Linked DNA regions of Mus musculus: region 2 is reported to be linked to region 1. Evidence: microRNA targets listed by miRTarBase, many of them from high-throughput screens and not tested one by one. Region 1 holds a microRNA gene; the other region holds the end of a gene's coding sequence.

Region 1 (4,148 bases):
GGGGTTCCCACGGGGCTGGAGAAGGTTGGAAAGGGAGGGGGAAGAATTTATGCCTGGGTCATTTAGCTTCTGTTAGAGGGCAGGTGGTCAAGGGCTGGGTTGGCCCAGGGAGAAAGGATAGGACAGAGGCCTGCCTACTTCTGTGTGGTTCTTCCAGTCTGCAGGAACAAAGGCCCGCTGGGAAGGCCTAGAGTGGCGTGGGTTTTTTTTTTTTTTTTTTTTTGTTTTTTATTTTTGGAAAGCCGCTGATCTCTAGCCCTAAAGACCCAGATCAAGGTAGTCACCCTTCAATAGACTGCAAAGAGTAGATTCAATTGCAGTCAACTGTGAAGTATGGACTGTGTTTCTCCCATCCTCGTAAGCAAGGACTCGCTACCCAGCTAGAAAAAGGGTGAAAAAGGGGAGCAGTCTCTGATGGGGGTTGGGGGAGATGTCTAACTCCCTTCTCCACATAGGGCCGCCAGCAGGAGGCTAGGACCCCTTTCTTTCCCCCCCCCAGGAGAGAGAGGCTCAGAAGCCACTGTGTAGAGTGGTTATTCCGGAAGGACCAGCCGCTTGTGTGAGGCAAGCACAGTGTGTTCGCTGCACAGCGGGGTGTGGCTGGTGGTGGGTGTAGAGGAGCTGCGGTCGGTGGGCTGCGGGAGAAGCTTTTGCGTGGGTCGTGCAGTAGGACAGAATGAGCGGTTCGAGAGTGTCCAAGAGGCAGTTTCTCTGCATACGTGTGACCCCGGGGCGCCGGGCACAATCGAAGGCGTTCGAGGGCTGCATCCGTGTGAGTCGAGGAGCGCGCGGAGCGGGACGCCGAGCGTGTGCGCGGGAGGCACGGGTCGCGCGGTGCGTGAGTGCGCGTGTACGCGGTGCGCGTGCCCCTCAGTTCTCAAGGACACCTCCGAGAGGAGGCGGCAGAGCCGGTGTCGGGTGACGTCACCGCGCGCCCCAGTGATAATCGCCCGGTGCCGGAGCCGAGCGCGGATACGAGCGGAGGCAGCGGCGGCGGCGGCGAGCGCGGGGACGGTCGCACCCGGTCTAGGCAAGGAGAGTGGGAGTCAGACTCCCGCAGTGCCGACCTCGCGGACGCCGGGCTCCCACCCGGCCCTCAGGAATTTGCCCGGCTTCCTTGGCACTGTCCCTGCGCTCTCCTCCACCCGGGGCCGTAGCGTGCGGGTCCTGCGGGCGCCAAGAAGGAGGCGGAGGCGGGATCGGGCGACAGCGCAGGCTGTGCTGCGGAGCGGAGGCGGCAACCGAGAAGCAGCAGGCGGCGGCGGCTCGCGCCCGGACGGGTAACTGCGCTGGCGGCCCGTGCCGGGGCGAGCCGGTCTCTCAGGTCACCCCGTCTTTCTCTCCTCGAGCAGCTTCTCGCCAGCCAGAGGCGTAAGAGAAGAGAGCTCGGCGGGTTGTAGAAAGAGACTGCTTTTCATCTCCGAACATCGAGGTTCTTTATTTTCACCGCACTCACGCACTCCTGGTGGGGCCGGGAAGAGGAGCCGGGGAAGGGCAGCTGCGGAGAGGCTTGCGCCGCCGGGGTGGAGAGGGCTCTGCACCCGTCAGAAGACTGCAGCAGGCCGGAGCACGCGCGCTCACCCCGGCCGGCTCCTGCATCTCCCTCGCCGCGGCTCCGAGGGGTCCCTACTGCAGGAACGCCCCGAGGGATTTGCCCGGGCCCTTCTCTACCTCGGGGAGGGGAAGGAAAACTGGCTCCTCGGAGTTGGGGGCGGACCAGGGCAGCACTGCCAGCTTAGCGCGGAGCCCCGCCCCGCCCGCCCGCCCCGCGGCGAAGAAGCTGGAGCATTCGCGCCCCTCAGGCTAGGACCCCACGCAAGCCGCAGCCCGGCCCCGACCCGGTCCAGCCGCTCGCCGCCCGCCGCAGCCCTGAGGGCCCCTCTGCGTGTTCACAGCGGACCTTGATTTAATGTCTATACAATTAAGGCACGCGGTGAATGCCAAGAGAGGCGCCTCCGCCGCTCCTTTCTCATGGAAATGGCCCGGGAGCCCGGCCGTCGCGGCGCCCCTCCCGCGGGAAAAAGGCGAGCCCCGGCCCCCGGTGGCCCCTCGCTCCGCGGACAAATCCGGCGAACAATGCGCCCGCCCAGAGGGCGGCCCAGCTGCTGGGCCGGGGATCTGGCCGCGGGACACAAAGGGGCCCGCATGCCTAGGACGTCACGAGAAGGGTGGGGGCGACCGCGGGGGAGAATGTGGCCACCCGGCCCCTGACCACGTGTGTCCGCAGCTCTGAGTGCTCGAGATCCCGAAGAGGGAGACGAGGGCCAGAAGACAAAGGGAGGGGCTGGGGAAGCGGCGGGCTGAGGGGCGCGGGAGGGAAGTGTGCAGCTTCCCGGGTTGTGTTGGCGCGTCCCGCTACCCACGGGCAGTCCTGGGCGCTGTCCTCGGTGCTGGCCGTGGAGTCACCCAGAGAGACGGGGCGCTAATGCGCTTGGGGCGAAGGGATGTCATGAGTATCACTGTTCCCATCTAGGGGGCCCTGGATAGTTGCCGCAGCAACCCCAGAGAAATGGGGTAGGGTCTGGGGTCACTGCAGTCTGTCCCCTGGGCGCTCTAGTTGGGGTCGCAGGGTGAAGGCGGTGATCACTTTGATTCTGAAGAAACCCCTGAACCTTAGGTTGAGGTTCGAGCTGTGGAAGTGGGGGATCTGCATCTGCATCCAAGGTCTAAATCTGGGTGGATACACTGGACCGCATCCCGCCCCCAAACCTCTCTCCAGCTATGCGGGACGCGAGGCACGTGAGGCTCTGCAGCCCAGAGAGAAAATGACAAATCCTCCTCCTCCCTCCCCCACCACCATCTGCAGCCGCAGTGACACCCACTCAGGTCTGCTGCAGGCATTTTTTTTCCTGTCCTCGGCAGCCAGCGCCACCTGCTGGCGTCCTGGTATGAGACTCTGCTCTGGCATGTCTCCTCCCAGCAAGGTTTCCGATCCCCAAGGTTACAGGCCCTATTACCTAGGGCAATGGTTCTCAACCTTCAGAATGCTGCTACCCTTTAATAGAGTTCTTCATGTTGTGGTGACCCCTCCCCCCAACCATAAAATTATTTTCGTTGCTACTTCGTATTTTGTTGCTACTTCATAACTGCAATTTTGTTACTGTTATGAATCCTAATGTAAATATTTTTAGAGATAGAGTTTGGCAAAGGAGTCCTGATACACAGGTTGGAAACTGATGACCTAGGATTGACTGTCAGTGGAGGAGGTCACAACCTCTGCACCCCCACCCCCTCAGACAAGTTGCAGACTTGCTTTTCATCTTCATGGGGTGAGTGTGAGCCCCTTTCCTGGCTCTGACCCAGATCCAGAACTGACCGCCCAAATTCTCCTAGCCTCAAGTCCTGTGCAGTTGCAGAAAAGCAAGACAAAAGGGCCCGCGTGAAGACACAAAGAGATGCTGCAGGGAGACTGCTTCAGTACTCCATGGAGAGATGCACACAGTCACACACTCATAGACCACTAGTGCCTTTGCATCCTGTCCCCAAAGCAGAGCCTCTGCAGAACCTCTGCCTCTTGGAGGGTGGAGAAGGGGCCCAAGCATACCACAGCTCTGACCTTGGGCTTGCTGTCTCTTTTTCCCTTCCTCCCTCAGAAGAGCTGCAAGGTGAACTCAAAGCAATACTGAAGGAATTGGTAGAGGTATCAGTCCTCTAGTGTAAAGGTTCCTAGGGGGCACAGGACTATGCCCCTCGTTGAGCTCTGTTGGGGGTGCTCTACACTGCAGCCTGGCTCTTTTCCCAGAGGGAAGATTCCCCCTGCCTCTCCCCTGGAACTAGAGCTCCATTCTTGTGCCACCGCTGCCCTTGCTGGAGAGTTGGCTCCTGACCACAGTGACCTTCTGGGCTGTGAGCAGAGATCGGGGTGGGGAGGATGGTAAGGGAGGTGGGCTGGAGAGTGGATAGGCGGTAAAGCCCATGGCAAGCTGCCCTGTGCCCCAGCCCAGGTTGAGTAGCAATCACCTTCACTCACCTTCATTGCACCCCCTTCAGTGGAGGCTAGGGGCTTCAGTTCAGGGGCACAGGACCAATCTGGGCATGGCTAGCAGACATGGGGCATTCGGTAGGAAGGCCATTTTTCAATCCTTACTGTGCTCAGGGTGCAGCACTGTCTGCTGGGGTGTGGGCAGGCCTCACGCAGGTGACTTAGA
Region 2 (4,000 bases), not on the chromosome of region 1:
TGACAGGATAGTTTAAAGGAGGAGGGTTTAACCTTTGGTCCATTTGAGGGTACAGCTCATCATGGCAGGAAAGGCACAGTGGCCAGAGCTTGAGATGGTGCATCCATGGTCAAGAGGCAACAGGAGACAGACACTGCTACCTCATCTTCCTCTTCATCCAGTCCAGGAAACTGCACCATAGAATGGTGCCACCCGAATTCAGAGTGAGGTCGTCCCACCTCAGGGAGACCAGTCTAGAAACTCCATCACTGTCATGCTTAGAGGTTCGTCTCCTGGGTGAGCCAATGGTCAGCGCTGACTGTTACAGGGAAGTTTTGAGGCAGGAGCTGCAGCACAATTCTGAGGGAGGCAACAATGCTGATATTGAACCAAAGCTGCCAGCCCTGACCTCCAGGAAGGGGTGTCCTGTAAGTGCCACGTGTCCTCCAGAAGCCATTCTAGGACAGGCCTATCTATCTGTAGTGTTTGTGCTGTTTGAGGGCTCTTGTGCAACGCCTGAAACAGAAAGGCCTCTGTGTCCATCAGTCCAGAGACATTAACTCCAAGACTAGAGATGCCTGCTGGTTCCAGCCGCTGCCTGATGGGAAACAGAGACAACGGGTACTCTGTAGGGCCCTGTTAGGTTCCTAATCTCCTGGCCCTGACTCAAGAAGTGTTAATAGGAACAAGAGGGGCCTGCCACTAAGCAAGGAGCCTGGGGTGGGACCTTCGCTGTAGCCATGGGGCCATGCTTTGAAATGTCAATGTGATCTGCACACTGGATGGTGGGCTAAGGTTTCCAAACAGTAAAAGGACCGAAACCACTATTTGCAGCACTATAAAGAGGAATGTGCTGTGAGGCACTAGGCAAATTTCAGCAAAGTGAATTATTAAGTCCTTTGGAGCCCCACGTGGTGGAGAATTGCAAATTGTTATCTGTTCTACAGAGCCTGTCTGGTCAGCCGCGGGACACTCTGTAAAGCGCGCTGCACTCTAGAAGTGGAATGGTTTGCCAGCTACAAAGCCGGCTCCCTCAGCCCTGTGTGAACAGCACTGTACCCTGCAGAATCTACAGAGGCTTGCAGGGCAGGACTAGGTCCAGGCTTTGCCGCCTCCTGGCGGCCAGGGAAAAGGCGATCTGGCCGCAACCTAGACTACTGCAAAGAAGAACCTGCGCATGCGCAAGAAGAAACGCCCGCCCACTTTAGCCTGTGGGTACTCACGGCCAGACATTGGTTCTACCTTTATGTTATTCTTCAACGAAAGTTAACCAAGTCCCTTTAAGGATTGGCAGTTTCCTCTTACAGGAATACAGTAGCAGGGCACATGTGTCCTGATGGCGTTGGGACTGGTGGGCCATTCTTTTAAATCATGCCATCCTGAGACAGGACCCACCAACACAGATCTTGGGGGAAAGAACCAACCTATGTCTAAAGGCGAGAGGCTCCGTGAAACTGTGAACCTGGGAAACTACTGCACAGAGGTGAAGGAAGAGTGGTGACAGAGGCCCCATGGGTTCTGGACTCTCCCAGGCACACCAAGGCCCTGCTGTCAAACTGTGTGGGCTGACTCTCCCCATGGCCCACCTGTGCCTGAAGTTACACTCCAGTCTTCTGACTTGGGCATGAGCACATGAGTCCTTCCTAGCCAGGAGTAACCCTCCAGAGAACTGTGGCTGAGTGCCTGTGTTTGTCAAGCTAGGAGAAGCAGTCACTAGATCCTGATGACCTCATAGAGTAGTGTATGGACACAGGTCCTTTAGGATATTGTCCTGAATCCACCAGTGCCTGAGATGACACATTCCTGCTTACAGGAGAACAGGGGTAACGGGGCCTATGCAAGTCTTCCAGGCAACAGCTCAAGAAGCACAGAGCCATGCTGACCTACCAAGGGCATTTATACCAAGTCGCATCCTCAGAGCCTTCTTGTAGGCATCACTACCTGCCCTCGGCCTCAGCTGGCTCTGACTACGTGTTAGGGAGCTCTCTGGGCACATTCTCTCAGCTTACAGCTGAGATAGCAGTGCAAACAATGTGGAGCCTGCTGCTTCCTACCCGGTCATCTCTACTTCGGGGACCATCACTTGGATGAGTGAGTCAGGTTGCCTCTACAGGGGCCTAGCCTAGGTGGCCATGGAATGAAGCACCTCAGCCCAGCACCTTGAGAGCACCTGTGGCCTGTGGCCAAGTCTGAGGCCCTGGTGGGCTGGCAGCCTCCAGGCCCTAGCTATATTGTCCCGGCATGGTCCCAGAGTAAGGATTCCGCCTAGGGCTCCACAACTCCCCAAGAAAGAGCAGGCTTGCCACAGTCAGTCTCACACGATTTTTTTTTTTTTTTTTAATTAAAACAGCAATAGGTTCCTGCCCAGGAAAAGGCTGGAAGAGGCAGGCCTTTCTTCACAAAAATAGATTTTCTTCTTTTTTTTTAAAAACACCACCAAAGTAAACCTATTAGCTTCCAAGAGCTGGTCACACCTGGAGAGTTGTTACAGCTCCCTCGTGGCTTTGAGCCAAGAGCTTGAGCCATCCTTGCAGACTCCAGTCCGAGCACTGGGCGGCTGTGAGCCTGCTGGCACCCAGGGTTAAGTGGTCAGCTCCAAACCATGCAAGAAAACCCAGCAATACCCACAAAGCAAAAGGCAACAGGAATAATAGTTCAAAGGGAAAGGCAGATACCACTAAAGGTGGTAACCAGAGGCTGTCTGAGGACAGTGTGTCCCTCAGAGACCATTGGCCAGTGCTGGGGGGAAGGCCTTGGGAAGCTCAGTACGTCTCTCAGGAAAGTCTTAGGAGATTCATCCCCATAGTGTGTCCTCAGCACCTGAGACAGGATAGAGATGTCCCTGATCCAGGCCACAGTGTACGAAGTCCATTCATTCAGTTGTGATTTAAAATATATATACAACCTGCATGGCATCCAGGACAGTACCAAGGCTATGGCCTGTCCAGAGAGACACCAGCTGCCTGCTCTTCAGAAGCGACAGCGTTTGCCGGGGTACACAGGCCCTGTCAGATTCATCCCTTGGGTAGAGGCCTGAGACCCTGGGAGCAGCAACAGCAGAGGCACTGTGGGGCACATATGGCCTGGCTGGGAGCCCCTGAGGTCTGGTTCTTTGGCACTTGGGACAGCTAGTTGCAGAGACCGACAGGAACAACCCCTTAATTTCTCAAATGCCCAGGAACAGAATGGCAGTAGCTTATGGCTGTAGGTAAGTGCTGCCCCAGCACGGATGTATGGATGCTGGCAGACCAGTGGGGTCCTGGGCCAGTCCCTATGAATCCTCTCCCAGGATCTCCTTCACAAAGGCAGCAATGTCTGTCTTCTTAGTTTTGTGCAAGGTGAAGAATGGGTGTTCCTGGTAGGAAAGAGAGGTACAATTTCTAGGGGTGAAGGGGCACAGGAGAAAGTATAAAGGAGAGGTTCCCTCTTTTCATGCCCCTCCTACCTGGCCAACTCCTGCTGGTCCATCCAGGACCGCTGCCCCTCGAAGCCCTCCAAAACCATCAAAGCTTGTGACTCTGCCTCACCCTCCTACAAGAGTCCCTCCTGCCACACAAACATCTCTTTCCTCAAGGGTACCAGACCTCTGCCCTACCAGACCCTCTACCCTTCCTTCATTAGCAAAGAGCCCATACCCATCCTTCCAGGCTCAGCTCAAATGGCATCTCCTCTAGGAAGCCTTCCCTGATGCCACAGTGACTCCTGTGCCCCACTGTCACAGCCCCGTGCACCTTTCCACAAGGCCTGGGGTACAGGCATGGGTGAAGGTGAAACTACACAAGCACATGCAAGGGCCAGGCAGAAGAGCTACCTCTCTACCCTGGAGTGCAACCCTCTTCCAGACAGTCCCACCCAGCCCCACCCAGCCACTACACAGCACAGGGGACAGGGCAGGTACTTCTCGTGCACACTCACCATCAGCTCCAGGTAGCTCATGCGCTCTGCAGGGTTCTTCCTTAGGCTAGGAAAGAGGGCAGTGAAGACAGGCTCACACGGAGGAAGCGAATCCAGACAGGCTGGG

Evidence for each region. The annotated mature microRNA mmu-miR-124-3p reads UAAGGCACGCGGUGAAUGCC and lies in region 1 at 1,923-1,942, shown strand. An mRNA with a match to its seed (bases 2 to 7 or 8) in the 3' UTR can be bound and repressed. Matches are read on the target gene's strand: a 7mer-m8 pairs with bases 2 to 8, a 7mer-A1 pairs with bases 2 to 7 and ends in A, and an 8mer does both.
Region 2: the mRNA of Map2k3 is a reported target of mmu-miR-124-3p. The part of its 3' UTR that is shown has no 7-base or 8-base seed match.

What each region holds. Positions count from the first base shown.
Region 1 is chr2:180,892,161-180,896,308 of GRCm38, forward strand. It overlaps Mir124a-3 (microRNA 124a-3), which reads left to right and starts at 1,880; the gene lies at 1,880-1,947.
Region 2 is chr11:60,951,098-60,955,097 of GRCm38, reverse strand. Map2k3 (mitogen-activated protein kinase kinase 3) reads right to left here. Exons shown (of 12, transcript NM_008928.5): 11 at 3,895-3,940; 12 at 2,287-3,334. The coding sequence ends at 3,251. Among named protein-coding and RNA genes, the nearest start is that of Map2k3, 21 kb to the right of the region's middle.